Linked DNA regions of Neurospora crassa OR74A. The protein of the gene in region 1 interacts with the protein of each later gene in a biochemical or structural test. Links are inferred from orthologs where the notes say so. Each region holds a gene or a part of one and is shown in the gene's direction. Other genes may lie near its edges.

Region 1 (7,560 bases):
GTGTTGTTGCGTCGGCAAGAGGTGGGCTATCGATTTCGATGGTCTCGGTCCCATTGACTGTCCCTTGCCCAACATGTTGATCTGATCCTGCAATCGCTGCGTGTATGATTTGGCAGTCCTGGGTTCCTGGGTATGATCATCATCAATGTCCATCTCATCGTCGTCATCATCGAAATCCTGTCGGGTAGTATGGCCAAGACTCTTTCCTCCCGTCTGGCGATGGTAGAAGGAGGTTCGCGTTACGTCGACGTGGCTCGTCCTCGACATCCTAGTACCGAGGCTCTTCTTAGAGGTCATCGGCTCGCGTGCGGGAAGTGATGCAAAGTTCAGACTGCTCAGGCGCTTAACCGGGCTAATGGGGCTGGAGGCTTCCATGGACGAGTTGGCGTCATCGTCCACCTTGTCGTCCGCCTGGTCGTCCGCATGATCCTTCTCTGACTGGGCGTGTACAAAGGGCGCCGGAGTCTTGGGTTGCTGTTCAGTGACTGGCTCTGTCTCTGGCGATCTCTTTTTTGGTGACAGGACGGGAGCGCTATCCACAGGTGATTCCTCCTTTTCAAGCTCCGGAGTCTTTTCGGGGGAGGGAATCTTCTCTGGTGAAGGATCCTTCTGGGGAGAGGCCACCTTGACCGGGGAAACCCTCTTCTCGGGGGAAAGGCGCTTTTCTGGCGATGCGAGCTTCTGAGGCGAGGCAGCCTTTTGGGGGGAGGGCGCATGGATAGACCTGGTGGGCGACGGAATGAGCATGTGGACTGGGCTGCTAGACCTAATCACATCAGGCTCGGGCGAAAGAAGTCGAGGGTATTGAACGGTAGGCTCAACAGGTTCTTCTGAAGGTGTTGTGGTTCGTAGTAGTTCGGCCGTCTCCTGTGGTGCGGGACTGGCGTGCTGCTCCGGCTCGGTGGGGGCTGGCTGAACCCCCAGATCCTGTGACTCTATCTCCTGCTGCTCTGGTTCCTCCTGCGTCGGTTCCTGGTTGAGCTCATTTGACGGCTGTATTGATTCCTCTGTCTGCTCCTGTGTGGGCTCTTGTGGAGGTTGTTGTTGTGGTAGCTCCTGCGCCGACTGCTGAGTGAGTTCCATGGTCGGCTCGTGTGCTGATTCTCCCATATCGACATCGACATCGACATCGGCATTGGCATTGGCATCGGCAACCTTTCCGACCTCGTCCACATCCATAATATCCAGCTGTTGACTGCCATAGTATCCAGAATCAGAGGGCTTGACCGGGGTAGGCGACTTGGAAAGAATTGGTAGGGGGGAGCCATTGAGATGTTTGATTGGGCTTCTGACTTTGGACGGGGTAGCGGCAACTGGCTTTGCTGGACTTGCGGGTGGTGGTCGCATGGGCGTGGTGTTGTTTGGCCTGACTGGGCTCGGTTGTCGTGATGGCGCGGCAACGCTCTTGACTGGGCTTGGCGACTTTGCGGCAGCTGATTTTCGCGGGCTCGCACGGCGCGTCGAGGGAGTCGTGGGATTCTTGGGGACATCATCGGCTTCGTCATCAGCTTCGACGTCGGCTTCCGGCGTATCGGGCCTGATCTTGGGCGTCCATGACGAGTTGTTCGCGGGCGGCGCGAGGACGAAGGGATTAGGTGTCACACCCTTGGGCGTCGCTGAGAAGATGCTGGCCAAGGGCTGCTGTGGGTTAGAACAAAATCAATCAATCAATCAATCACTCTTGGTCGCCCGTCGCAGAAGAATGATGGACGCTGTCTGGATGCTTACCACTCTCACTTCGGTATTGGGCCCTTTGCGAATTGTCCGCGGTGTCTTGCCTCGTGGTCGTGCTGGCGTTTTGAAGATTTCGGCAATGTTCCTGTTCCTGGTCAGCGAGACAAAGAGAGGGAAATAAAACAAAGACAACGCACATTTGGTTCTCGCCCAAGAAAATGTCCTCCATGTGCTCGTTCAGCCAGTCCATCTCATTGCGCGCCGCATACGAGAACTCTTCGACTTCCTCCTCTGCCACCTTGAGCGCCGATGCGCGCTCTTCTGCAACCCACGCTGCCGAGCCGACGGGCAGACGTGGTGCCTTGCGCATCGCCATTTTTGCTGTTTGTTTACTTTGGCGCCAAAAGTCAACAAACCGGATTTGGGGATGTGGGGAAAGCTCTAAAAAAAAAAAAAACCCCCAAGCAATGATCGGAAAAGAAAGGAATGGCAACAAGTGAGATGTTCAAAGCATTGGTATGATTAGTTGGTCAAAGAAAGGGAGGGAGGTGGGCGACGAGGCTGGCGATGTGGTATAATGGTGGTTGTCGGAGGGATGACGGGATTGCGTCGATCGAGTCAAAGCAACAAAGAGAAAGTCAAAGTCAAACAAACCAAGTAAAAAGCGAGGGATCGGAGACCTGACCTGACCTGACCTGGGATGGAGTTCCTGTTGCCGGAGCAAATTCCCTTGTCTTGGTTTCAATTGTTAGTACCCAATCCGCTCCAGTCTTTGTTTTGGTTGATGCCCAAAAGGGAATAGTCTGGGCTGAGGGGAGCGAAGAGGTGGGGCTTCTGTTTCCACTGCACTGTTGCAGCGCTTTTGTGCCTGGAAACTGAAGGCCCCAGAACACACCCCCGCTGCACGCCTTCCCGTCGCCAATTCACGTGCAGGCCCTGTCATTACCGTATCGTGGGCACAATCAATACCGTCATGGAGAGATCAAAGGTCTGCAAGTAAGAGGTTGGCCACAAAGAGCTGTAAATGTTGAATAATGGCAGTGCAGATGTTCAGAGAGCCATGTTTAACTTGAAACAAAAACACCAACTGAAAGAGCAATTCCCAGGGAAAAGATCCCGAGTGCTAGATACCCGGGTCACTCTTCGGTATTCTTGCTGACCCTCGGCCAGTTTGTGTAAATACAGTGTAATGGAATTCTCCTCCTCGACAAAGTCGCGACCAGTCTCGTCCGACTTGCAGACATCGCGTCTCACATCTTCCGTCTCTTCTACAATACTACTTCCAGGCTTCCAGGTAGAACGAAGGCAGCCATCACCACCAACAAAGTACTCGGATACCCTTCAGTACAACCGACATTATCATGGACGTCTTTGGCGATGAAGCCTTCAACGTCCCCGACTCGACCGACTGGCTGGGCACGCCCCTCGCATGCCTGATGCCCGTCGAACAGGCTTTCCGCTGTCACGTATGCAAGGACTTTTACGACTCTCCCATGCTCACATCCTGCAATCACACCTTTTGCTCCTTGTGCATCCGAAGATGTCTGTCCGTCGACAGCAAGTGCCCGCTCTGTCGCGCCACCGACCAGGAATCCAAGCTCAGAGGCAACTGGGCTTTGCGCGAAGCCGTAGAAGCCTTCAAGAACTCCCGCAAAGTCCTTCTCGAGTTTGCTAGGACACCACCGACCATTCAGGCGATACTGCCAGACCAAGCAGGCCCCAGTTCGCCATCAAAACGAAAGGCGACCGAAATGGAGGGGCCAAAAGAGGAGGACCCAGAAAGCAAGAGGCCGAGGAGGTCAACCAGATCAACAAGAGCCCGAGCCGCCGAGTTGACAGCGGCAATACTACAAGAAGAGCAAGACACCACACCTTCAGCCGACCCGGATTACGTCGACCAACCACCCGGTTCGTTTCCCTCCTCCCGCTCCTCGTGGGTTGCTTCTATCATCATCATCATCACTGACCTCCCACCAGACGACGGCCTAGTAGCCTGCCCCATCTGCCTCACCCGCATGAAGGAACAGCAAGTCGACCGCCACCTCGACACCTCTTGTCCCGGTTCTCCCCAGGCCGCATCCAAACGACGACCGATCCCCGCTCAAACACCACAGCCATCGACCTTTCCATCCTTCAACACCCGCCTCACATCTCAAACCAACCAAAAACCACCCGAACGCCTCCCCGCCCTAGCCTACTCCATGCTGCGCGACACCGCCCTGCGCAAGAAACTCTCCGAACTCGGCCTCTCCACCCACGGTTCTCGCCAGCTCTTGGAGAAGCGCCACAAGGAGTGGATCACGCTTTGGAACGCCAACTGCGACTCTTCGCGACCCAAAAAGCGGTCCGAGTTACTTCGCGATCTAGACGAATGGGAACGGACAGTAGGGAATCCCGGCACAGCAGCAGGAGGAGGAGGGGGGCAGCAGGGACTCGGACTCATGGCGAGGGCGCAAGCTACTGGAGCGCAGATCAAGGACAAGGAGTTCGATGGCAAAGCTTGGGCAACTCGGTATGGAGGGAGTTTTGGGGATTTGATCAAGCAGGCCCGGCAGGGGATTAAGAGGCAGACTTTGGATGGTAATGGGGAGAAGGCGGATACCAAGGGTGGGGGTGGGGGTGAGGATGTTGGCCCAGCTGAACTTCCGACACTACAAGCGAGAGAGGGGGAAAGCAGTGCAGCGCCAACACGGATGGATATTGTCCCGCCATCAAGTCCACCACGACCGGGGCAGGTGGATGACGCGGATACAGAACACGACGGGCAAGCTCCTGGAAAGGATGCTATAGCAGAGGATACCGCCATGAGGGAACAAGTCATTCCCGGGACTCCAGACAAGGAACGGCAGTGGGAGACGTCACAGCAGCAGCAGCCACCAATACCTGGGGATGCTCAACTGAGTGGGATGAAGAAGCCAAATCCAGAGACATGTTAAGGCCGATGGATATATTATGACAGGCACTCTTTTCTCCTACTTTACTAATTTACCCTGTGTTCTGTATGACATTTGTAGTCCATCCGGACTAGACCCACTTAACCTCTACACTAAAACCCACCCCACCCCCAGAAGACCCACATTTCTGTGGGCCGGGTCCGCTGAAGGATGTCGACGGGGGGTAAAAGTGATAGAGACTACTTACCACAGGAACCTAGTGACACCTACCCCCAACGTAAACATCGCCCCCAGGATACGACTCCCCCTTCACCCCGCCTCTCAACTCCTCTCCCATGCCCGCCCCCTTCAAAATTCCCTCCTGCCGCTTCACCTCCCTCACCACCCTCTCCGGATACAAGACCAAAAACCCCGCCATCACCACCCCCATCGGCACCCCATCAAACACATAGACAAACCACTCATGACTTGCCACCACCCCGTCCGTTCCCCCCAAATACTCGGCCCCGCGCACCACACTCCTGACAACCAACATAGCCCCCGCCACCTCCATCACACCAAAATACCACAGCCATCTCACCCCAGGGTCCATCAGCATTGCCCGTGACCTGGTCGGGTTGCGGTGCAGGCGCACGTGTAGGCGGCCGCAGGTGAAGAGGAAGATACCCAGCGCGAGGAGCTGGACGCACAGGCCGATTAGGACAATGATCTTGCTCAGGCGTTGCGCCGACTCGGTGCCGCTTGCGGGGAGGACGGTGCCGATGAGCTGGGTGAAGATTGCGGCCACGTCGGCGAGGACGTAGAGCCGCGTCGGGGAGCAGGTGCAGAAGCTGTTGGTTGGTTGGCAATGGGCGGTTAGTGACGGGGGGTCGGGGAAATAGATGATGATGGGGCGGTACCAGGAGTAACAGCATCGGGCGCAGCAGCCGCGGTTGTTACGGCGCCCGTGGTTGGGTTTGGAGGTGCCCTCGAGGAGCGCCGTGGAGATGCGGCCGTAGGACATGTATAGGGAGGCGGCGAGGAGGGGAGGGGCGACGAGGAGGAGCATGTTCTGCAGCAGCCAGGGGTCGAGCTTTGTGGGGTCGGAGTGGGCGTAACTGCGTTCGAGGTAGCCGAAGACGAGGCCTGGTTGTTTGGGGGTTGGATGGTCAGGGAGATTGCGAGGTGGAAGAGACAGGAGAAGGCTTACAGATGCCACCGAGGATGAGGGGAATGCATCCCCACGCCCGGAGCCAGACAAAGTAGACGAGGTGCGCGAGGGTGGCCAAGGCGAACAAGGCGAGAAAGAGGTGCGCGGCAACGTTGCTGGGTCGGTATTCCCAAAAGACCACCACCATGGTCCCGTTGACCACAGGGCCGAAGGGCGGGCCATCGTTAAGCGTCATTGAGTTGGGGAGGGTAGTAGAGATGCCAGGTTTGGGAGTAGACGGAAAGGGATATCAAAAGCTGCTGCTAGCCCTTTGCTTGATAACGGAACACATGACCAACACAACAAATACAGGGCAAGTCATTCCTCGAGGGGGGTTATATACCGTCGAGAGACAGGTGAATCGCATTACTTTCAGTGCTGATCAAGATCTGAACAGACGGTACCCTGGCATTCCATTTGGATGCTCACAGCCCCCTCAGACGAAACTGCGTCGTGGGCTGTGGGGCGGGCGACTTACACGAGATGTGGATTCACGGGCTTCCCTTTTATTCGGCTTTGATTTTTCGCACTTGGATCCGAAAAATTCACAGCCAACCATCCATTACACCTCAATGTCAACTTACTGTAGCCTCCTTTCGCAGACGCCGCAGCTCCATTCAAGGGCTTCCCTTTATTCGGGTTTTATTTTTCGCACTTTGATCCGAAAAATCAATTCACACCCAATCTCAACTTACTGTGCTCTAGCCACCTTTCGCAGAAATGGCGGCGTCGTCATCGACCAGAAAGTCCATTCAACCTCACCGCAAATCACGCACCGGCTGTAGCTCTTGTAAACGCCGCAAAGTCAAGGTCAGTTTTTCACCCGTTACCTACACAACACACAAAGATGCTTCTCGCCTTTTACAAGCGCCGTTTCTCGACTCTTGCTGACCTCCCTCAGTGCGACGAAGAGAAGCCATGTAGCAATTGCATCCGCTTCGGCCTGCCCTGCAATCTCGTCCCAGAAAATGCCCATTTCGAACATGGTATTGTAGGACCTGCCGCTCCGACTCGACGAGGTCGGGGGCGGCCTCGGAAGAACTGGGCAGGTGAGTCAAACAGTGTGTGCGAGCCTTTGGGCTTCACTCCAAGCATTTTTTTTTCCCTGTCTTTTTCCTCCATGTCTCTTCTTCCATTTCATGCCCTTTTCTTTCCATGTCTTTCTTCTTTCCACGCCAGCTAACTCTCCGCTCAGATCCCCCACACTCCCAAAGCACACCATCCACCACCCCAACCTCCCCCCTCGACGACCCAACACCCCTCAACCAGCGGGCCTGTGTCCCGACGACGACGACAATCGACCTCAATATTACCCAAGCCGAACTCCTCCTCCACTTCACCACCACCACCGCCCCCTCCATCGGCGGCTGCGACAAGCACCCGCACCACCTCGCCTTCTGGACGCGCAACGCCCTGCACATCGGCCTCGCCCACCCCTTCGTCCTGCACCTCCTCCTCGCCGACACGGCGTTCCACCTCGCCTACCTGACAGCCACCCATCACCATGAGCAAGAAGAAGTGTTGCTGTTGCCTCCGCGCCGTAGCCATAGCGAATATCTCGCCCTCGCGCAGCAGCACCTGACGGAGGGGGTGTCGGGGTTCGCGGCAGAGCTTGCGCGGCCGGGGGAGGGGAATTGTGGGGCGCTGTATCTGGGCGCGGTGCTACTTTGTTTTTGCACGTTTGCGGATGGGCCGAGGGGGGACGGAGATTTGCTGGTGTGCAGTGTTGATGGGGATGGAGATGGAGATGAAGGGTGTGGTTTGGAAGAGGTCGGGGGTGGTGGTGTGAGCATGCCGTTCGTG
Region 2 (7,972 bases), on another chromosome or scaffold:
CCGCCACGGTTGCTGCTCCGGTGACCACCACCACCACTCTCCTCAACCCACTGAGATCAGCCCCTCTTCCGCCGTTGCTCCCGTCCCTATCAAGGCCGGCTCTTCGAGGGCCGTTACTGCCAATGGCTCTGGCTCGGTTTCGCCCCCGCCGAGGAGAATCACTGGCCCGAGAAAGAGCCCTACTGCCAAGCCTTCCAAGACCATCGTTCGTAGGACTAACTCGACTGGCAAGAAGGACGGCACTGGTGAAAAGAAGGTTGGCAGGCGTCGTGGACCCCTCCTTCCTGAGCAGCGTAAGCAGGCCAGCGAGATCAGGAAGCTCCGGGCCTGCCTCCGTTGCAAGTTCCTCAAGAAGACCTGCGACAAGGGTGAGCCTTGCGCCGGGTGCCAGCCTTCTCACGCTCGTTTGTGGCAGGTGCCTTGCACTCGCATCGATATCAAGGATATTGGTTACTTTATGAAGGATTGGAAGGCCGACTACGAGCGTCACCTCGGCCGCGGCATGTCCGTCTTCAACGTCAAGGGTTTCGCCCAGAAGGAGACCCTCATGTGGATCACCCACGGCTACGGCTTCTGCCTCCCTGTCATGGTTCGCGAGGTGTTTGTTGCCGACGAGAGCTGCTTCCAAGTCGACTGGGTCGAGTCGACCTTGACTGACCAGGAGCCTATCGATTTTGAGATCCGCACTGAGCGCCTCGACGTTGGTCATGAGGGTGTCTCTGTGGAGGCTCTCTCCGAGTACCTCGACAAGCATGTCGATGAGGGCTTCGAGCAGTTCATTGACGACCATTTCGAGGGTACTCCCTTCATCACCGAGCTCTTCAAGACCGCTCATAGGTTCTACGTCAAGGAGCGCCTGCCTGTCATTCGCAAGGCGCTCAAGCTTGTTGTGGCTTACAACCTCACTCTTCACATTACCATGGTTGAGCAGCCGCCGACGGAGCAGCCCATGGAGGGCCAGATCGATGACGAGGATTCCAAGTACTTTGGCAAGGTTGTCGCCCCTGTCATGATCAATTTCCAGATCAAGTGCGCCATGGCCGATATGTGGCGTGAGCTCCAGAAGGAGGTCCTCGAGGAGCTCTCTGCTCTCTACTCTTCGGTCTACAGCGGAGAGCGTCTCAAGAACTGGCCTACTATCTTCATGCTGGCTGCCATCCTCTTGGCTGTCTGGGAGGAGATCCAGTTCGACTGCCATTACCGTGTGCCTGACCCTATCGCTGTCAACAAGTTCTGTGACGATATGGAGTCTACTCCTGTTGGTGTCATTGTTGGCCTCTTCCACGCCATCTCTCAGAAGCTGCCCGCCTTCACGGAGTGGGATACTCGCAGGCATGGTCAGCTGCTTAATAACAACGTTGCCGTCTGCGAGGCCATGACCGAAGTTAGACAGCATGTCCTCAAGCATGGTGAGTGATGACCCCTCATTTAATGTCAGCATGGTGTGACCCTACATACTAACCCCGCGATAACAGAATCCTACCTTAGGACCCGTCAAGAAACCAAGTTCGACCGCTATGACTTTGACTCACTATCAAACAAGTTCCTGTCGAAGCTGGTCATTCGGGCCAACTAAGGTTGTTTTCTTGCTTGCTGCACTCTGCCTCTTTTGGTTGCGATACCCGTTATCCACGTTACGGTTACAGCACTTTACAGCAAAGCTCGCAAGAGCTGGTCTGTTCCGGTTTCCTGTTTTCCTCTTTATCCTTATCTCATGGGGCCATTGAGCGACGGCGTTCTCATCTTTATTTCATTATGGCTACTATTTTCTATAGTCAACCATCTTCTCCCTTTTTCTGTTATCTTTTGTGGCATTTTTTTTGGCCGCGCACACTCACTTGGTGGCTGGTCACCACCGCGAACAACACGATACGAAATGACTGACGTCCCATCATGACGGATCAATATTTGATGAATACACATTTGACGAAACCCCAACGAATCTACACAAAACACACCATACACTACTACGCATACATCGCAAAAAAGTTAAAACCAGCACGATCTGCATGTCTGGCACTTTTGATAGTTCAGTTGGGAGAGAAGAAGTCGCTCACGGGAAAAGGAAGGGCATGGGATGAAGGAGGGTAAGCGAGTGGAAAGGGTTGTTTGAAAGGATCGAAGAAAAGCACAACTCAAAGGGGAGGAAGAGGAGGAAAATGGGTTTGCATTGGGTATCTTGGCGTTTTTTTTTGTCTATCTGATTTGGTCTTTTTCTTTTGGTTTACCTACATATAGATATGGATTGATAGGTGGACTTTCTTGCATAAGCGCGCGCGGGCAAACCGCGACCTAGGCGAGAAATCCTCTTTTTGAGAAATATTTATTGGTTATTGTTAATGAGTATTAGGCTGTTCGAGTGCTTGTTTTGGTGTGATGTTGTTGAGTGTACTACAGCAGGCAATGTTCCCTCATCAGAGAAAAACGAAGAGAGTGGTTGTTTGTTTAAGGCCAACTTTCATCCACAAGTACACATTACCTGGTTCTTCACAGGTTGTCATGGAACCGACTATGGGAAGGGCCACAGAGCAAACGAGTTCTCGAGTCTTGTAGAGTTGCCTTGGGTTGTGTGTACTTGTTTCATTTCAAAGACGCAAGTCATTACCACGCAAAGAAAGCCGTTGGCTCGTTGGTTCTGGATGAGTGGAAAAATGCATTCCAACTCTTACGATAGAGCCTAGGCCAGACGAGTACATAAGTACTCAAGATCAATGAGTGAGAAGGATTGCGAACGGCAACCAGGCACCTGCATTGAACTTGGTTCACTACACGCATTGACAATAAAAAGTATCATGTACACCAATCTGATGACGTTCAGGGTTGTCATTTGATCATGGGATGTCACAACCCGAGCCGAATGGGTGTATTGAACGGACCGTAAGGACGATTCCCGCATTTGCGAAGACGGGAGTTGTAGGCGTGACTGCGCGGGAGTCCCCGGGATCCCGTGCAGGAGGTGATGCCGGCCCCGGTCTCACCCGAGGTGGTTGGCAGGCCTAGTAGCGGGCAGGGCGGAACTCGTCACTTGGCTCCAGGAGTTTGTGATGTTGTGCTGCACAGCTTACCTCCCTCTACTGTACATATTACACTCGTGCGTAAAGGACCCAGCATTCTGATCGATGATGGTAACTCGCGATACTATGGATCATGCGTGAACGGAGGCTAGAGACCGTCAATAGCGGAGCGACCCTCCTAAAGTGCGGGGCGGTGGAGCCAAGAAAGAGGCCACGATAATGCTGGGCGATAACGGGAGGAACGGAGTCACGACATCATCGGTCGGGGGCTGGTGGGAACCCTTATGGCCAGGCACTGCAGTCAGGAGGTCTCCCATCTGTCACCGGTCTTGAATCCTTACCGGCGTCAACAGCCACGGTCGGTCGGAAAGCCGATAGAAAAGCGAAAGAGAATACCTGGTAATAGCTCCCCGTTCCCGTCCGGTTCAGTTGTCGGTGTCCCGCCATGAACACGGAGAACTAACGAAGCTCATCGTCGCACCAGACGGAGCGCTTACCTCAGCAGCCTTTGCAAAGGTCGGTGGAAGAACCAACCGTGAGTCCGTGACACCAGCTGAGCATTCTGTGGTTTACAGTGCCAGCTGACTCGCCCCTTTACTGTCTGGAGCTGAAACGATGCCTGGCCGGGATGCACCTCCCGTCCGGTTGTTCTTTCGTTCGACGACCAACACCTCGACCCCTTTGGTGACACTCTTTGTGGTGTTGGTTAAAGACAAAGTCACAGGTCTCTTTGATTTTATATACTCATCTTCATGTCTTCTGGTCATTTCCTCCATTGCTGGAAAATTGCGATCCAACCGTTCACTCTTCCCTGTTTGCCTCTCGGTGCCCTCGATCGGACCACGTCATTGACCGCTCACTTCGTTGGGGGGTTCGCTTATCAAATGCGGGGAACCAGCAAGGTGCACGTCGGTATTCCATGATGCCAGCTGGACTGCTGCTGTGTGAAGCATCGAGCAAGAGGCCATCAACAACCTGATAGAGGGAACAATTATAATAACATGGAGAGAAGCTTGTCAAGATGCTGGCAAAGTAACGAGAAGTCGAGATGGCACTCTCGGATTTGTAAACAACTGAAACTCGAAGGTCCGTCGTCCAGCCACATGCAGATCATTCTTTGGCTTATTCATCCAGAGAGAACCTAACTGAAGCAGGGCAAACAGCCCGGCTGAGGTGACTGACGCATTGACGGGCAAACGGCTGGGTGAGTGCCCGCCACTGCAGAAGGCGTTGACAGTGCGATCAATCAGCCGCGGTCACTGTTGGGGGGGATGTCCAACCACTCCTGCCAACGGGCAACAGCCAACAGTCAAGGGGGAAACTGTCGTCTGACTGGCTTCTTCTCGCGCCTTCCCTCCACTTCTCTGTCACTCCCAACCGCCAAGTGGCTTGTGCGTGGCCTGTCAGTGAAGGTGAGTGACACACCACTCACACCGTGGCAGGCGTTGCAAACGGACCAGTGACGATCGACTTGGGACCTGGCACCTTTCCGCTTCCACTCCAGTCCCGTCACCTCTTCCCCTTCACTCAGCCCCCCCGCTTCGCTTCCCTTTCCAGGCAGTGGAAGCCTGGCCCCTCCAAGTTCGCCATCCTGATTCCTGCCACTTCCGCCGCAGCCAGCACCTGAACCTACTTATTTAATCCTCCCCGCCCATCTGCATCCCCGATTCCATTTCTTCCGCTTTCACCATCTCTCTCCATCGCCATCATCGCAGGAGTGTTCATCCACGCACATATCATTCCCGCCACTCGATTCTAGTCATTTCGCTTCATCCATCAACAGTCCATTCGTCCACTGCACAACCCCCATCATGCAGATTTTCGTCAAGACTTGTAAGTTATCGCACGCTCACCGCATCATCACTTTACCATCGATCGACCGATGCTAACTATCTCTTCGCAGTGACCGGCAAGACCATCACCCTCGAGGTCGAGTCGTCGGATACCATTGACAATGTCAAGCAAAAGATTCAGGACAAGGAGGGCATTCCCCCCGACCAGCAGCGCTTGATTTTTGCCGGCAAGCAGTTGGAGGATGGCCGCACCCTTTCCGACTACAACATCCAGAAGGAGTCTACCCTCCACCTTGTCCTCCGCCTGCGCGGTGGTATGCAAATCTTCGTCAAGACTCTTACCGGCAAGACCATCACCCTTGAGGTGGAATCGTCCGACACTATCGACAACGTCAAGCAAAAGATCCAAGACAAGGAGGGCATTCCTCCCGATCAGCAGCGTCTCATTTTCGCCGGCAAGCAGCTTGAAGACGGCCGCACTTTGAGCGACTACAACATTCAGAAGGAGTCTACCCTTCATCTCGTTCTTCGTCTACGCGGTGGTATGCAGATTTTCGTTAAGACGCTTACCGGCAAGACGATTACTCTCGAGGTTGAGTCTTCCGACACCATCGACAACGTAAAGCAAAAGATCCAGGACAAGGAGGGTATCCCACCTGATCAGCAGCGTCTCATTTTCGCTGGAAAGCAGCTCGAGGATGGTCGCACCCTCTCCGACTACAACATTCAGAAGGAGAGCACCCTGCACTTGGTGCTCCGTCTTCGTGGTGGTATGCAGATTTTCGTCAAGACCTTGACGGGCAAGACGATTACGCTGGAAGTCGAGTCTTCGGATACGATTGATAACGTGAAGCAAAAGATCCAGGACAAGGAGGGTATCCCGCCTGACCAGCAGCGTCTGATCTTTGCTGGTAAGCAGTTGGAGGATGGCCGGACCCTCTCTGATTACAACATTCAGAAGGAGAGCACTCTTCACTTGGTGCTGCGCCTCCGTGGCGGCCAGTAAGCGGATTGTCGTCTTTGTTTCTGATTCTTGATGACGAGCAAGGGTTCATTTGGGCGTTCAGCGTTTATTGGGTTACTTATTGCATCCATGGGTTGGGAAATGATGACAACCATGAAACAGGGCATATCTAGCCGAATCTAATGGCACACGCTTCATACATACAGCGATGCCATAATAAAGACTATATTTACGGTCTCAAACATGATGTCTCTTGGTGATTTGCTTGTGTCTCAATTCGTGAGCTTTTGTTATTCCCGTCAACCTGTCATCTGGTCAATTGGGGATGGAGTCGGACGTGTAAGTCAAGATGGTGGTGCAGTGGGTTGGTACACACCGTGCGAGGTGACCGTTGCGTGGCCGAAAGTGGCGCCCTTTTTTGGTGGACAAGATGCATCATACGTGAAAGATACGTACCGACCGCCGAGTTCAGTTCGCGCTAGTCCGGCCGTGGAGCCCTCCCTCCCCCCCTGTGAAGGACGATCCAACGTCCAACGTCCAACGTCAAGTTCGTAGTTGTGGAAGGTTGAATGTGAAGAGGACATCCGGAAGGACCTCTCATCCTCTCTAATCACCAGGGCAAGAACCATCACTGCATGGAGTTTGGGCACACATGAACCTGCAGAGATAGGCATCGGCGACTTGATTGACGTAAGGCCCGCGTCCAAGGTGTCTTAATCGACTCTTCATCTTCTTGATCCTTCTCTGTCCTTCTCTTGCTCTTCCACTCTTACAGTCAACGCAATACTCTCAATATTACACTTTCATCAGATTTTTCATCAAAGCATTGTTGTTTCTCGACCATCACAACAAGGAATCATTTCTTTGCGACCATACCATGAATATGCCATGCCTGTCTACCGCTATCATTTGAAGTTTGAGCTCTACCCCTCGCCAGATCCGACGCATAGCGCGCCCGCCGCAGCATTCCACCCCGATATCTGGTTACCTACCAAGGACTCGTCCATATTTGACGAGCTCCCCGCCCACCCTCGTACCTGGCAGCTCAAATCTTTGTCTTCAAGGCCATCGTCCAGGAGGAAACAGAATCGAGATATCATCCAAGGAGAAGGGCAAATCGAAGAGCAAGAGAAGAAGGGCCATTCGGAGAAAATTCCTCGAGCCTTGCCAGAATCGCATTTGGGACTTCTCAACGACAGCTCAGACCCCGAGGCGGAGGAAGGGACGGAAACCGGCGGAGTTATCGATTGCGGGGCATCCAGACCAGATTGCCAGAACCCCGAAGACAACAGGAACATCGTCAGGCTTTCAGGCAAGCAATCGCGCGCGACTTCTCCTCCGCCAAGATTCACGTCTGGGCTAGGGCCACGGACGGCAGCTAAGGACTGGCGCTTTGGAAGGATCAGCATCGAGAGCCTTGATCTGCCACGGGACGGGCATCTGCAGCGACACGCACAAACCGCGGCGGAGGACAATACTCAGAAGAAAGGCAAAGGGAAAGACACCCACAGCGCCACTGCTGGAACTGGAAAACCGGTAGCAGCCAAGAACAACAAGTCAGCAATGGCTGAGTCACTGAAGGATCAAGGACAGCAATCTCAACAAGAGAAAAATGGCAACCAAGAACGTGCGTCCCACGGTACGCCAGCGGCTTCTCTAGGCCCGAACCTCGGTGGCATGGGCCAGGCCACCAAGGGACGATACATACCCCTCGAAACCAAAAACACGGAGGTTGGGTGGGGCATCGTCCATCTGTACCGCGAGGCCGATGAGAGCAGTGCTCTTCGCGCCGGGGTGGGTGCAGGCAGCGCCAGCGGTAGCAACGGAACTGCTAGCAGCGGTGACGACGGCACTATTCTTTGCATCACTGCCGTTCCCATGTACATGAGTCCGAGTGACTTCCTGGGCTTCATAGGAGAAAAGTGGCGCGATGACGTGAGCCACTACAGGATGATCATGACGAGCAAGCTGAATCGGTACATGGTTTTGATGAAGTTTAGGGATCCGCAAAGGGCGAGGGATTTTAGGGTTCAGTTTAATGGGAGGCCATTTGACAGTATCGAGGTGAGTGACTCCTGGACTACATGATTTCCTGGCGTTGCTAATGGCAACTTTCTCGAAACCATAGACCGAGTTTTGCCATGTCGCCTACATCCAATCCATCACCGTGGAATCACCTGGCGGCCAGAAAGGTTACAGCA
Region 3 (7,298 bases), about 3.7 Mb from region 1:
GCGCCAGGGCACACACCAAGAGCGAAAGTCAGTGTGATCTTGTAGAAGGATGAATGGCGGGGTGCGTCGTAATGTATCGTCGTAACCTAATATTTTGATACTTGAGTCGCGGAAAAGCTAGAGCTGGAGTAACAATGCCGAATGATGCAATAAATAACTTGTTGTAGTTCTTGTTCGATGTTTGATTTGCTGAAGACAAAGGTGCAGACCGTTTCGGTGAAGCTGCGCGATCTCAAAGGTGAAGTTAAGGTGAGTGTGTTTGCACTGTGCTGCATTGATTTCAATGCGGCGCGTTCGTCTTCTGACCGGACGCTTAAACCCTAACCCGAACGCTATAACTGTGAATACCCTGGGATCTTTGTTGCACGAGTTGAATTTGGTCACGTTTACTTATATGCTCAGTTGTGGATTTACAGCATCACCCAGATCATCAAGCTCACAACATGGCACTGCAGTTTCCTTACTTCTTCAAATACATTCTGTCGCTTTGACCCAACAAGATGCAGCTGTAACTATGTGCAGACTGGCCCTGCTTCTGGCAGCGCATCATACCATTTGTACATGAAAGAAAGCCCAACCAACTCCAAAGCTTTGCAAATCTTCATCCTTATACAAAAATTCATCAAATACCCATCCGCAACTCCACAATGTTCCCGGTTATACCGACTCGATCCTCTGGACGACCATCGCAGTGGCCGCACCTCCACCATTGCAAATAGCAGCTACACCGTACTGGCCAGGCTGGAGTTGATGAAGCAAGGTAACGAGAATGCGGGATCCAGAGCTACCCAAGGGGTGGCCAAGGGCAATGGCGCCACCAAGAGGGTTCACCACAGCGCCTTCGAGACCCAGAATCTTCTCGTTGGCCTTGATGACCGCGGCGAAGGCCTCGTTAAACTCCCAAATGGCAACCTGGTCCTTGCTAATGCCGGCACGCTTAAGGGCAAGCTCAACCGCTTTAGAGGGCGCAATAGGGAAGTCGATGGGATCCATAGCGGCATCAGCTGAACTGACGATACGGGCAAGGACCCTTGAGCCCTTGCCGAACTCTTGCGCGAGCGACTTATTGCCGAGAACCAAAGCACTGGCGCCATCGTTGAGGGTGGAGGCGTTGGCGGCCGTCACGGTACCGGTGCCATCGCGGACGAAGGCAGGCTTGAGGGTGGCAACTTTGTCCAGCTTGATGTCGTTGTAGCCTTCATCCACCTCGATGATCTTGTCACCCTTCTTGCCCGGAACGGTGACCGGGACAACTTCCTCAGCAAACTTCCCGGAAGCCCAAGCCTCCTGGGCGCGCTTGTACGACTGGATGGCATACTCGTCCTGCTGTTCACGAGAGATTTGGAACTTCTTGGCAGTGTTCTCGGCGCAGTTGCCCATGTGGAACTCGTTGTAGACGTCGGTCAGCCCATCCTTGATAATGCCATCCTCCATCTTGATGTGACCGAAGGGGGGCATGCCGCTAGCGCGTGGAACGTAGTACGGCGTCCTTGTCATGTTCTCCATACCACCAGCGACCTGGGCCTCCGCTAGGCCAAGCTGGATGTTTTGCGCCGCGAACACAACAGCTTTGAGACCGGAAGCGCACACCTTGTTGATGGTAATGGCCTCTACGTTGGGGGAAAGGCCAGCAAAGATAGCGGCCTGGCGTGCAGGTGCCTGGCCAACAGACCCCTGGAGGACGTTTCCCATGTAGACATCGGTGATCTTCTCAACGGGGATACCCGACCTCTTGACGGCCTCCTTGATGGCAACGGCACCGAGCTTGGGAGCAGGAACGGTGGTGTAAGAGCCATTGAACTGGCAGACGTTAGCACAAGCGCTGTGTTGTGGAAATGGCTGATTTTACGGAGCGCTTTACCTTGGCCGTTGGTGTCCTCACACCACTGAGAATGTAGGCATCCTGAATCTGCTGGCGGAGAGCAGACTGGGTGGAAAAAAGACGAGCGCAAGCGACACGGGAAGTGCGCGAAGCCGAGCCAGCGGCTGTCCTGGCGTGGCTAAGAACCATTCTGATGTCGGAAGCTGGTGACGATGAGTTACAGGACGTAGGGGCGGTACTGCACAGCGCAGATGTCGGAGGGGAATCTGGCGAGAAGGAAGAAAGGAAGATGGCCGAACGGGGAATGAACAACAGCACAACAGGAGAGGCAACACAAAAACAGGAGCAGGAAATAATTGGGAGTAGGGACAGAATCACAGGGAAGACTTTCTTCTATTGTTTAAAAATGATTAATAAAACTACCAGTTGGGGAGGCGATAGCTAGGTGGTCTCTTCCTCTCCTTCCCGCTTTCTTTTCCTCGGAACTTGTCAGATGCCATGATGGCACCGGTCGGCTTGTGACGGTACATGTGTGGAGAGGATTCACACCAAAGCGATGCTTCACCCCGCCAATTGAGCGCCAAACAGTGGCCGCCACCGTGGTTCCTCCGCGGGGACCCCAACGGGCGCAAGGGACACAGAAGCTTGGTATCCGGGGTTTCCCGTGGAGCCTGCCGCTGACCGACAGGGGAAGCTCCTCATCCACAACAACTGAAGAATGCCCTGCTTGGGTCATGAGCCCATGAGTGCCGTACCCACGGGCGGATGGAGAAACATCAGATGGAGCCAGAGTTGAAGCCGTAGCGGAGGGGAAACGGTCAACGGATCGATTCGGGGGTGGATGCTCTCCAAGCAGTTCATTCACTCTTTCCGCAGCCTCCTGTTGCCCAGCGCCGGCATCATACCTAGCTGTACCGGATACTGCCCGCATAAAATCAGGGATCAAAAGGCCAGGGCACTGCACGCTCAAGAGTCGTTTCGCATCACTTAACAATCTATCCCAGTCGCGGTTGTCCCTGCAATTGCCATCCCGCGCGCGTCTTTGGATGTTGGGCAGAAGCGAACCACTTTACACGCGGGAACAAAAGCCGAGCTTCCCAACGCGATATGTTTGAGATGTTGCGTTGGTTCCAAGCAACGATCCTATTGCGGCGTTGAAGTGTTTTCGGGCAGCTGCCGGGGGATGCCACAGGAGACAGCTTGATCAAATCACTGATTCAACCCGAACAATTGGCTGTCATGCTACAATTTCTGATGTTTTCTTGGGATTCATTTGTCAGTTCGATTAGTTAGATGTTTGGCTGGACAACCATTCGGCGGTGGCGTGAGAGAAGGTGTGTGACTGTGTGATCCCATTCCATCAGCTGGCAGTCACCTCGCGCACGAGCCACCAGTCGCTTCATACCCAAGTGTAATTGGCCGAGAATCAGAAAAGTGCTATTAACAATCCGGCGGCAATTGTCAACCGGGGCAGTCACTGTTCATTGCCCCTGCCCTCGGCGCGCGTTCTCCTAGCTTCTTTGTGACGCCCCCCTCCGGGCAATCAGTTGGGTATGATAAGATAGCGGTCGTTAATGCGCGTTCACTTGTTGGCTCTGCTGGTTTCCGTCATTCATCTCCGCCCCTTCAAATCAGTTCGTTTGATTGTCTCTTCGCTATTCCAACCACGAAACCCATCTCGACTTCGAACAAAGTATCGCATCGATCCTACGTACTCCATCAACCTTGTAGCTTTCTCTCCATACGCCTGGGCCGACTTCATCATCCATCACCAAAGCCAAAATGTCAACCGCTGCCCGCCGCCGGCTCATGCGAGACTTCAAGGTGCGAGACATCATGAGCCACCCCGTTGGGTTCACACCGCTTGATGACTTGGCCGCCATGAGCACAATATACTCACCATGTTCCTCGACAGCGCATGCAAACCGATCCTCCCGCTGGTGTTTCCGCCTCTCCCGTACCCGATAATGTTATGACATGGTAAGGAGAACGATCTTTGCTGCGGTGTCGTTATGGGCGGTCGACCCCCGGCATGGCAATGACTGACATGAGTCTCCATATAGGAACGCCGTGATCATCGGACCCGCCGATACGCCCTTCGAAGATGGCACCTTCCGCCTGGTGATGCACTTTGAGGAGCAGTATCCCAATAAGCCTCCTTCGGTCAAGTTCATCAGCGAGATGTTCCACCCCAATGTTTACGCCACTGGCGAACTTTGTCTCGATATCCTTCAGAACCGCTGGAGTCCTACGTACGACGTCGCGGCTGTTCTTACCAGTATTCAGAGGTACGACTGCATAATATCTTGTTGACGTTCATTTTGCGTTGTGTTATTATGCTGACAAAACTGTCTTGACTAGTTTGCTCAATGACCCGAACACAGGATCGCCTGCAAACGTCGAAGCCTCCAATCTATACAAGGACAACCGCAAAGAATACCACAAGAGGGTCCGGGAAACTGTTGAGAAGAGCTGGGAGGATTGAATAGTGACGACATTTATCACCACGGGGCCCTCAATGGCAAAAAGCCAATGATTGATCTGGGTGCTGCAAGTCGGTGTTGATATTGCTCACTGGGCTGTTCGATACAGATCTCTTGGCTATATCAACAGTCAGTTGTCGACCGACGACGAGTTGCGAGATGATCCACATTCGAGGATACCCGGCGGTTTGGCCTTTTAGGGCGTGAGGGTGGAACGGATGTCGTGATATTACATTGCATTTGGGAGGCGTCGTTCTTTCGGGGCGTTTTTGTTGTATTTCAAATATCCGCATCTCTCGCCTATTGATGGCTGAGAGTCAGCCTGCTTGTCTGCAATGGAGAGAGCGGGAGTGCTTGGTTTTTCTCACTCTTTAGGGCGATTGTCGGGTTTGGAGTTTAGGCGCTCGTATCATACCAACACAAGCACATCTGGCGAGGGCAGTCCCTGGATACCTCAACTCACCCCAAAAAGCCCTAGATAGCGTTCTTTTCTTTTGTCTTAGAGATGAAGAGATGGCATAGTGTCTTTCATTGCAAAAAGCTCACCATGTTATGTCGGCCGGCTTAGATGTACGAGTTTCCAGAGAGTCTTGCATTTCTCAGCTTTCCTCTGTTTCTTTGACGAAAGTGTACATGACCCCGCTTGGTGCCTTACATCCACATGATTTATATCACCTATACCTAAGGCTGAGAGTCAAGTCTAGCGTGCACATTTCGAACTGCGGCGTTGTTTAATACACGCTCACGTTAACAGGCATACCTTGGATGCAAGGGTCCCTGTGAGAGTGAAAGACAGGCTGACTACCTCTATCGTAAATGCCCAGAAAACGCAGGGTTAAAGGGCTGTCAGATGCTTTTGGCGGCCGTCAGAGAGCATTAGTGTACGTGGCTTCCGAACACTTTTAACCCTGCAATCTGGAAACAAGGTTCTCAAGTCTGTATGGTACGTCCTGGTCCGACTTACCCAGCTCTACATGGCTCTTTTGGAAGACTTCTCATAACTTGCATAGGTACGATTTTATGTTGTAGGACTGACGCTTTGCGTATGATCTGCATGAGGGGTGAGGTTGTTTATATATTGTGGGTAGCTGAACTTGGCTAGGCTCCTCTACCTACAGCGAGCGGTAGCCTCTTGAAAGCTCGAATTGACAACGTAGAGAGGTATCTTGAAAATTGATTGCAAGTTACCCAAAAGAGCAAAGAAATGGCCATAGGCAACTCGAACAGCAGGAAAGGGGGCGGGCATCTCCAAGAATACTGGCTTGTATACTTGTGCCACTTGAGTCTGCTAGAAACGTGCGATCAAATTACCTCAGGGAATGGGTTTCAGATTGGGGTTTTCCATGTACACTAGAGGTAGGTACCCTCGGGCGGAGCCTCCCCCAATCCTGTTTGAAGCTTTGAAATATTTCTACAATTGATGAAAATATCTCCTCCATGGCACCCGAGAGTATTGGCCGAACGGGCATTCAATCTTCAGGCAGGTACTTACCTTACACTCGGAGGTAGAGGCAGAGGTAGAGGTAGGTAAGTAAAGGTACTGGTCTCGCAGTCCGCCTCGCAGCACCAGCCGCCCCGAGTGCCGTCCCGCTCCGGTTGTTAGGTAAAGGGACAGGGGCAGCAGGCACAACCGACGGGAGTCGTCCACTGGCGACGACTGGCAGCGGTTCGCTTTCAGGACCCCTCCCGCCCTTGGCTGCGCACCGTTCAGACTGCGTCTCAGGCTGCGACTCTGCACTGACCGACAAGACCCCACTATCTTCATCGCGTTTCGACATTTGTTCGGTTTCTTCTAGACCCTTAAATTGCCTTGGGTACCGACCACACGTGTGATGAGTACCCCTTCCTGCCCTTCCATCTCGACGAGAACATACGGCGGCGGCGACAGTAGCTGCGGATACCCCTTTCAGCCCCTTTTTGCACATTCTGCACACGTTCGCCTTTTCGCCTAGCCCTCAAGGTTTGCTTTGCTTTGCTCTGCATAGGTAGCTTTAGGTTTGCTGTCTTCTTCCATCGCTGCGGCCCAAAGGGGTTCAGTTACCTAACGAAACGCCAACGTGCCTCGGCGGGCGAGTAGTGTGTCACATTGAAGCCCACCTTCACCTTTTGCCCTTCTTCACACCGCACCCGCAGCCGCGAACCGCACCGCAACTGCACCACACCACAACCACCGCTCACGACGGACCGCGGAGGAGGGAAACGACGACGAGAACACGCGCCTAACCGGAACTCGTCACCTTTTGTGATATCCGGATCCAACTCGGAGAGACACCTGGACCCCGACTGACCGAGACCCTGCTTCTCTATCTCTCTGCTGCAGGCGGCCGGGCTCCTTGTCCATCTCCCCTCTCCCCCCCCCTCTCTCCCCCTCACTCCACCACCCATCCTCCCCGACAACATCGGCCGCGCCGCCTTTCATGACAGTGCGCTACCCAGCGCTGCAAGGGAATCGCCATAATGTCGTCAAGTGCGAATAGTATCAAGGTCGTGGCTCGATTTAGGCCCCAGAACAGGGTCGAAATCGAGTCCGGCGGCCAGCCCATCGTCACCTTCCAGGGCCCGGATACCTGTACAGTCGATGTGAGCAACTTCTTCTGCCCCCTAGTTCTCGCACCTCACAATGCCCTTGTGCCTGCCTTGTCACATCCTTCACGCGCCTGAATGCAGTCGCACCGCAGTGGCTAACCCATCTGTTTTTGCCCATAGTCGAAAGAAGCGCAGGGTTCCTTCACCTTTGATCGGGTGTTTGACATGTCATGCAAGCAATCCGACATCTTCGATTTCTCGATCAAGCCTACCGTCGACGATATTCTCAATGGCTACAACGGTACTGTCTTCGCCTACGGCCAGACGGGTGCCGGTAAATCATACACCATGATGGGTACCAGTATAGATGACCCTGATGGCAGAGGTGTTATTCCAAGAATCGTCGAGCAAATCTTTACCAGCATCTTGTCTAGCGCAGCAAACATCGAGTATACCGTCCGGGTCAG
Region 4 (7,158 bases), on another chromosome or scaffold:
TTGTTCAGAGTGCCGCCTGGCGTCAGATGGAGAGCTAGCACCACATATCGACCTCCCGTTTCTTTGTTGGATGCTCCTCTTCCGTTCTCTTGTCCGAGTCCCATCATTGTCCGAGTCGTTGTCCGGTCGTAGTGGCATCCATGGAGACCGTAATTCAGGATTGCGAGCCTCTTGCCAATTATCTCAAGGGTTCGCTTACCTACTCACTGTCCATCTCTAAAGCACAGCATCACTTACTTGCCATGACAGATCAAGGCGAAGAAACACGCAACAATGACTGGCCAACACCGCCAGCCTCCGAGTCCGACCACAATGGCCAGTTCCACGATGCCCACGATGACCGCCTCTCCGAACACAGCATCTCACCCCCCTCTTCTCCCAACTTCGCTCCCGTAGGCCGCCCCATGGTCCGCAAGCGGTTCCGAAAGAACGCCCCTGAGCCAATACAACTCGAGATCCCACACCGCATGAAGCGATACAGCTCGCTCGGCTCGCTACATGACTCCTATTCTGTAAGGATCTTTTACGCTCAAATCATAGGGGCCATGTGTGTTGAACTAATGACGTTTGTTCGTGGTGAAAAGAAAGCCGTAACAGCGAGGATAGACCGCGCCGACAACCAGAAATTCATCGAGCAGTTCCGATATACGATCGTCGCTTCGCAGTTGTTGAGTGGGCACTCGGTTGCTGGACTTAATCACTTTTACCGAAATCAGGATGCCGATAGTTCGAAAGAGCAAAATAACGATGTCGTACTACCGAACTCGACGGGGCTGGTTGCGACGGCTGCGGGAGCGTTGGTGGTGGCGTTGGGGATAAGGTGGTTGTGTTTGGGAGGATATGCTCGTCTGACCAAAAAGGGGGTGCTGGTTGCCGTCGTGGTTGCCGTTGCGGTGGGATTGGTGGCGCACTTTTATATCCGGAAGCAGTGGCTGAGATATGTGCGGAACAAGGCGCTGGCAGAGGTTGCTACTTTTGTGGCGAAGAGTCAGGATTGGGATAGTGCTACGAGTGCGGCGCTGTCGCTTGTTCAGGAGGTTGAGTTGGTGTCGAGGGGGTATAGGCTGTGAGTATGGTCTTCCGGAGGATATTGGGGTTAACTGCGGCTAACAATAACCAGGAGCGCACCACTACCGCCTATCAGCAGAATCGAAGACCGAAGCCAAACGAGACGATGCGGACGCCTGCGCAAGGCTCTCAAGCAGCGGTTTGCCGATATGATCAAGAGTTACATCCAAGTGACGACAGCGGTGAAGGGACTCTCGGAACAGTTGGATCTGGAAAAGTACTACGACGTTTACGACATTACCGACTTTGACGTTTCCGATGCGATGCAAGGGTTTCCGGAGGTCGCGACGGAGGAGGCGGAGTCGTTACGGGTGCTCAAAATTGCCGCTGCTCGGTTCCATACCATCCGCAAGCTGCTTCTCTGCGCTTTGCTTGCGTTTGAGGCTACGGGAGATAACAGCGACTTTGTGCGGTGGTCGACGGCGGCTCAGTGTCTCAGCCAGCTGAGCAGTCTGACAGGTGATTGCTACGAGAGGCTTCGTCTCATCTTGAGCGATGAAGAGAGTGAGTTTCATCCCGTATTCTTGCACACTACAAACACACAACAGCTAACAAAACCACTCAGGCTTCCCCGCTATCCCCGAAACCAAGTTCCCTCTTTCGCCCAACCGCGAGAAACGCCGAACGCAATTCCGCAAGCTCGACTCTCTATCGACGGGCATCCGCGGTCTCCAAGCCAAGCTGGCACTATTGCGTGAAGAATCCGAGAAAGCACTCAACGAAGCCGACGACATCTCTGAAGTTGGTTTCGACCTCCTGTCGCAATACGAGTCCATTGGCCAAGACCTCAAGATGCTGCAGCAAGCCTGGGAGGATGGCAAGGCTGCCCTAGCATCGGGAATCGACCGCAACGAGAAACGTATTTCGTCTATGAGCATGCTGTACTCGCCTGCTACCTCTCTAAGCGGGTTGACCACTGTCGGCGAAGAGAACGAAACCGGCGGCGGAGCGGAGGATGCGCTGAAAGCGCTCACCGGGGAGACGTCTCCCACACGAAACTCCTCGCCAAGTCCCAACGAGCCGGATGTGTTTGAGGCGGTTGCGCTATCGGCTCGGCCCAGGAGTATGCTGACCAGGGAAGAGAGATTGGTGAAAATGAAAGAGGAGAGAGAGATGAGGGCAATGCAGAGAGAGAAGGCGGAAGCGAGTAGGGGCATGTTGAAGGAGTTGGAGATGGTGATTAATCTGAGGCCGAAGAGACATACAACCATGGGACCAGGCGGGGGAAACGGCAGGAGTGCGGCGCCGACGAGGATTTCTTTATGACGACAGACAAACTCTGCGGCATTCGCGCTGTCTTTCTTTCGGGTTTCTTTTCTTTGACCACTATAATCTTACATGGCATCAAGGCATTGCGCGCAGACAAAAGAGAGGGGCGAACAACAACGACGAGAAGGTCAGCTTGCCAGTTTTCTTGAAAAGCAACAACAGCAACAACAACAACAACTTTGGGTAGAATGGCGTTTTGACGGACATACAGACCATGGGAACATTTGAAAGCTGGGGCAGGCAAGCGAGCAATGTGGGACACAGAATTTAACGGCGTTTACACAGTTTATACAGACGATCTTGGGCGGGCATTCTGTAACAAATTCTTTTTTGAGTTGGGGGAGGGTGTAAGATAGGTGAAATAATGTAATAATCAAAATATATTGGAGAATGGAGGTAGAACAGAGTTCGCGCAGAAATGAGGGAGTCGAATAGTTGAAGTCATATCATCGGAACTTGAAGTGAGCAGCATACCTTTGGTTCGACATTGCCGTCGAGACACGATCCAAACAGAAAGAGGGGATTCAGGGCGACAGCTCCCACTGAAAACGCGAAGATTGCGCCTGAAAGCGGACTAACAGCGCTGGAGAACGGGACCGTGCACCGGGAGCTAGCCTGAAGCGGTAAATCAATTAAGCCTAACCCCGGCTCAGCGCGTTTAGCTGCCATTAGCAGGCGCGTCAAGTCGCGAAGTGGGTGTCCCGGCACCACCTGTGGTATTGGTGGTTCCTCTCTTTTTATCGTCCATTGCCTGCCTGTTGCAGCTTTTTGAACAAAACCATAACTCTTCCCAAATCCAAATCTTTTCTTCTCTCTTCTTTCTTCGTCAAACCACGAGCGCCTCTCTCTCCCGAAAGTGATACCCAGCGCGCGCATATTTTCTTCCCTCTTTGTCTTTTTTTCCCCCGTCGAGTTCGGTAATTCACATCCATCAGTATGTCGTCTCTGTCTGAGCGTGAAGCTGCCTGCTCGCTTGCTCGCTGGCCCGGCACTAGGAAGAAAAGCTGGAGAACTGGAGTGATGGGTTGCTGACTGGAGGACTACCACAACAACAGAAATGCTTGAAGCACGGTTGGAGCAGGCGTCGATCCTGAAGAAGGTATGTCATGTCCTCTTCCTGTCAAGTGCTGTCTGTTTCCTTTCCCAGCTAGAAGACCCCCACTAACTCTGTCATGATGATGACGATGATGTCCAGGTCGTCGACGCCATCAAGGACCTCGTGCAGGACTGCAACTTCGACTGCAACGACTCGGGCATCGCCCTGCAAGCCATGGACAACTCGCACGTCGCGCTCGTGTCCATGATGCTCAAGACGGAGACCTTCTCGCCCTTCCGGTGCGACCGCAACATTGCGCTCGGCGTCAACCTGACGTCGCTGACCAAGGTGCTCCGCGCCGCCCAGAACGAGGACATCCTGACGCTCAAGGCCGAGGACGCGCCCGACGTGCTCAACCTCGTCTTCGAATCTTCCGAAAACGACCGTATCTCCGAGTACGACCTCAAGCTCATGGACATTGACCAGGAGCACCTGGGCATTCCGGATACCGAGTACGCGGCCACCATCAGCATGCCGTCTTCTGAGTTTAAGCGCATCACCACCGACCTCATGGCCATGAGCGAGAGCGTCAACATTGAGGCGAGCAAGGACGGCGTCAAGTTTAGCTGCCAGGGCGACATTGGCAACGGCAGCATTACCCTCCGCCAGCACACCAACGTTGATAAGCCCAGCGAGAATATCGAGATTGAGTTGAGCGAGCCGGTTTCCCTCACGTTCTCGCTCAAGTACCTGGTCAACTTTTGCAAGGCGAGCGCGCTGTCGAGCACGGTCAAGATCTGCCTCTCCAACGAGGTGCCCCTTTTGGTCGAGTACAACATTTCGGCTAGCAGCTACTTGAGGTTCTATCTTGCGCCCAAGGTATGTCTTTGTTTGTCATTTTCTGGGTGGTTGTTTTCTGTCAGGCGTGATGCTAACTGGTTCTGATTCACAGATTGGCGACGAGGAGTAAACGCCCCATTTACCTCCAACAACCGAACCACATCTTTGTTACGAACACCACGAAACTATGCCTTCATGTATACCTCGAGTTGCTATAAAATCATGGGGAGGAGGAGAATTGCAAGTCATGTAGAAGATAAGGGGTGATGCAGTGATGAGAAGAAGAAAAGGGATATGAAGAAAAAGAAATCTGTGTTTTTGAAAGAGTCTGGCACTAGTACACTACACACAAATGTTTTAGAGGGCGTTTTGTTCTTTCTGCTGCGAAGATGAATGTTTAGGGGAGACGACGAGGTGTCAATGATTATTGCGATGGCCTCCAACAACACACCTTCACCAAGGAACCCGATGCTGTTGTCGTTTCCTTTTTTTTTTTTTTTTTTTTTTTTTTTTTTGTCTGATGGTTTCTAACATTGATATCGGCAAACTGTCCTCCCTGTATCACTATGGTAATCATCGCTTCTCGGGAGTTCAGCTTGGCGTTGAAAGTAGGTATCTCAGAAGTGGGTTCAATCACAAGTACACCAGTACTGACATCACCACTTCCCGTCAGTCGGCGTGTTTTCCAGAAATCTTCCACCCGACTGTTTTTTTTTTTTTTTTTTTTTTTTTTTTTTTTTTTTTTTTTTTTTTTTTTTTTTTTCATCCGATGAAGTTCCTGGTGTTCACCAGCTTCCCCACATTGTTCATTCAATGTATGTAACTTACCTACCCACCACCTGCGTGACGTCCCCTCCCGCCTACAACAGCCCAGGGCCCGGGGCGCGCCCAGCAGCTGAATGGACTCCGCATTCAAGTTGCCCCTAACCCGCCCTGCAGGAAACTTTTTGGCGGGGCATGGGTGGTTCCTGGGGAAAAAAAAAAGAGTCATTGACTGGCCGGCCCTGTGCCATGACCGTTAGCGGCGAATTTCTGGACCATTCGAGGACTCGAATCAAGATGTGGGCAAATGGGTGGCACGAGAGGGCGATATCGCAGTTTATTTGATTGATGATACTATTTCCAATTGATCGAATCTTTCGGCTATATACGGTCTTCTTCTTTCACCGCTGACTGACTGACTAGGTCTAGAGTCAGACTCACTTGGTGTGTCACAGTGTTGCTTGCTTAGTTCTTTTTCCGGAATCTTTCCTCCATCTTTTCTTGACCCGGTGATCATCCACTGGCAGTCCTTCCTCGGACTTCTTCTGCGAGTTCGAGACAGACCTAGTTCCTTTTGACAACAACAAACATTCTCTACATCGTTTAACTTTGGCACCAGTTCTCAACATATCGTCGAGATTTCAAGCGGCCGACTATTTTTTACAGAGACGATTTATATCACCGAATTGACAGACCGTTCGTTGAATCGCCAGCTCGGCTTACTCGGCTTACGTACCTCTCTCTACCAACGATCGAGATCCTTTGCGCCGCCACTCTACGTCGTAGGACATCTACCGAACATAACCAATTCGAACGAAGGAGGTCTCTACAACAAGTCTCGAGCTCGATCTTTCCTCTACAACAACCAAAAGCCGAATCGCATACAAAGTACTCTACCAAGGTCACCATGAGCGACGGAGAGCCTCCAGTCCCCGACACCCGCGTGTTGGCGGTCGCCAGCCATGTAAGTCTACTTCTCCTTTTCAATTAATACCAGGTTAAATCAATTGCTGACTGGGAGTGTTCAGGTTGTCTCTGGGTAAGTTCCGATTTACCTACAAGCTTTGCGCCGGCCTCCCCCGATGACGACTAGAACAGCCGAGCCCCAACCAGACAAGACGAGACGAGACGAGACGAAAGGGAAAAGAATAAAAAGAAGAAGAAGAGAAAGGCATTGGCTAACATCAATGTGTCTTCCCTCAGCTACGTAGGCAACAAAATCGCCGTCTTCTCCATGCAATCCCTTGGCTGCGACGTCGCCGCCCTCAACACGGTGCAGTTCAGCAACCATACGGGCTACCGCCAATTCACCGGCACGCGCGTGTCCGCTTCCGAAATCACCGACCTCTACCGCGGTCTCAAACAGTCCTACCTCGATGACTTTGATATGATGCTGTCCGGATACGTCCCCGGTGCTCCAGCGCTGGAAGCCGTGGGGGAGATAGCGAAAGAACTTAAGGAAAAGGCTCAAGCGCGCGGGAAGCCTGGATCTTTCTTTTGGGTGCTGGACCCCGTGATGGGCGATAACGGCAGTCTGTACGTCGCGCAGGATGTGGTGCCGGTATATAAAGGGCTGGTGCAGTACGCAGACCTGATACTCCCGAACCAATTCGAGGCCGAGTGCGTACCTTTCTTTTCTTCCCCTTTCCCCTTCCCTCTCTTCTTGTTGTTGGGTTATTAATCTAACAGATAACAGACTCCTATCAGAAGTCAAAATAGTCGACATGCCCTCCTTAACCCGCGCCATCTCCGTCCTGCACGAGCGCTACGCCATCCCGCACATCATCATCACTTCCGTCTCCCTTCCCGACGCTGCTACTACCGTCTCCTCCACCATGCCCAACTCCGTACCCGGCTCTTCGGCGCCCACACCAACACCCCAAGAAGAAGGCCAAGGCCAATCGCAACCGCCCCGCACCAAGACCCTCAGCGTAGTGGGCTCAACAATGACTTCTGCCCGCCAACCGCGCGCGTTTCAGATTAGCTTCCCCGCCATCGACTGCTACTTCTCCGGAACGGGCGATATGTTTTCCGCTTTGATGCTTGTGCGCATGCGAGAAGCGGTGTATAACACTGAAGGAGACTTGACAGAACGGGAATCGTGGTTGTCAGATGACTCAGTGGACGCGCTGGACTTGCCGCTTGCCAAGGCGGCGGAGAAGGTGTTGGCGAGTATGCATGAG

The links.
Region 2: the proteins of uvs-2 (region 1) and ubi form a complex in vitro, tested with the Saccharomyces cerevisiae proteins (2 studies listed by BioGRID). The link is inferred for Neurospora crassa OR74A from reciprocal best matches to the Saccharomyces cerevisiae genes RAD18 and UBI4.
Region 3: the proteins of uvs-2 (region 1) and mus-8 form a complex in vitro, tested with the Saccharomyces cerevisiae proteins (12 studies listed by BioGRID, with this or other methods). The link is inferred for Neurospora crassa OR74A from reciprocal best matches to the Saccharomyces cerevisiae genes RAD18 and RAD6.
Region 4: of the proteins of uvs-2 (region 1) and pcn, one has a biochemical effect on the other in vitro, tested with the Saccharomyces cerevisiae proteins (11 studies listed by BioGRID, with this or other methods). The link is inferred for Neurospora crassa OR74A from reciprocal best matches to the Saccharomyces cerevisiae genes RAD18 and POL30.

What each region holds. Positions count from the first base shown.
Region 1 is NC_026504.1:5,739,125-5,746,684, forward strand, and holds uvs-2 (postreplication repair E3 ubiquitin-protein ligase rad-18), read left to right. Parts: upstream 1-2,859; 5' UTR 2,860-3,035; coding exon 3,036-3,582; intron 3,583-3,651; coding exon 3,652-4,610; 3' UTR 4,611-4,669; downstream 4,670-7,560. Other genes in the region: NCU05211 (hypothetical protein), read right to left, coding at 1-1,638, 1,729-1,819, 1,872-2,050; NCU05209 (hypothetical protein), read right to left, coding at 4,825-5,693, 5,758-5,953; NCU05208 (hypothetical protein), read left to right, coding at 6,478-6,567, 6,659-6,806, 6,953-7,560. UniProt on the Saccharomyces cerevisiae protein: E3 RING-finger protein, member of the UBC2/RAD6 epistasis group. Associates to the E2 ubiquitin conjugating enzyme UBC2/RAD6 to form the UBC2-RAD18 ubiquitin ligase complex involved in postreplicative repair (PRR) of damaged DNA.
Region 2 is NC_026506.1:3,141,219-3,149,190, forward strand, and holds ubi (ubiquitin), read left to right. Parts: upstream 1-3,825; 5' UTR 3,826-4,100; intron 4,101-4,168; 5' UTR 4,169-4,825; coding exon 4,826-4,847; intron 4,848-4,917; coding exon 4,918-5,813; 3' UTR 5,814-6,365; downstream 6,366-7,972. Other genes in the region: NCU05996 (C6 finger domain-containing protein), read left to right, coding at 1-1,409, 1,476-1,576; NCU11215 (RING-10 protein), read left to right, coding at 6,660-7,835, 7,900-7,972. UniProt on the Saccharomyces cerevisiae protein: Ubiquitin exists either covalently attached to another protein, or free (unanchored).
Region 3 is NC_026504.1:1,992,127-1,999,424, forward strand, and holds mus-8 (mus-8), read left to right. Parts: upstream 1-3,281; 5' UTR 3,282-3,604; coding exon 3,605-3,646; intron 3,647-3,737; coding exon 3,738-3,802; intron 3,803-3,885; coding exon 3,886-4,110; intron 4,111-4,183; coding exon 4,184-4,307; 3' UTR 4,308-4,996; downstream 4,997-7,298. Other genes in the region: NCU09732 (acetyl-CoA acetyltransferase), read right to left, coding at 658-1,800, 1,862-2,011; kin-1 (kinesin heavy chain), read left to right, coding at 6,763-6,885, 7,012-7,298. UniProt on the Saccharomyces cerevisiae protein: E2 ubiquitin-conjugating enzyme that accepts ubiquitin from the ubiquitin-activating enzyme E1 and transfers it to a E3 ubiquitin-protein ligase.
Region 4 is NC_026501.1:9,445,360-9,452,517, forward strand, and holds pcn (proliferating cell nuclear antigen), read left to right. Parts: upstream 1-3,035; 5' UTR 3,036-3,271; intron 3,272-3,392; 5' UTR 3,393-3,394; coding exon 3,395-3,436; intron 3,437-3,532; coding exon 3,533-4,252; intron 4,253-4,325; coding exon 4,326-4,343; 3' UTR 4,344-4,698; downstream 4,699-7,158. Other genes in the region: NCU09240 (hypothetical protein), read left to right, coding at 243-1,066, 1,121-1,572, 1,634-2,334; NCU10351 (pyridoxine kinase), read left to right, coding at 5,883-5,939, 6,004-6,014, 6,179-6,595, 6,672-7,158. UniProt on the Saccharomyces cerevisiae protein: This protein is an auxiliary protein of DNA polymerase delta and is involved in the control of eukaryotic DNA replication by increasing the polymerase's processibility during elongation of the leading strand. Involved in DNA repair.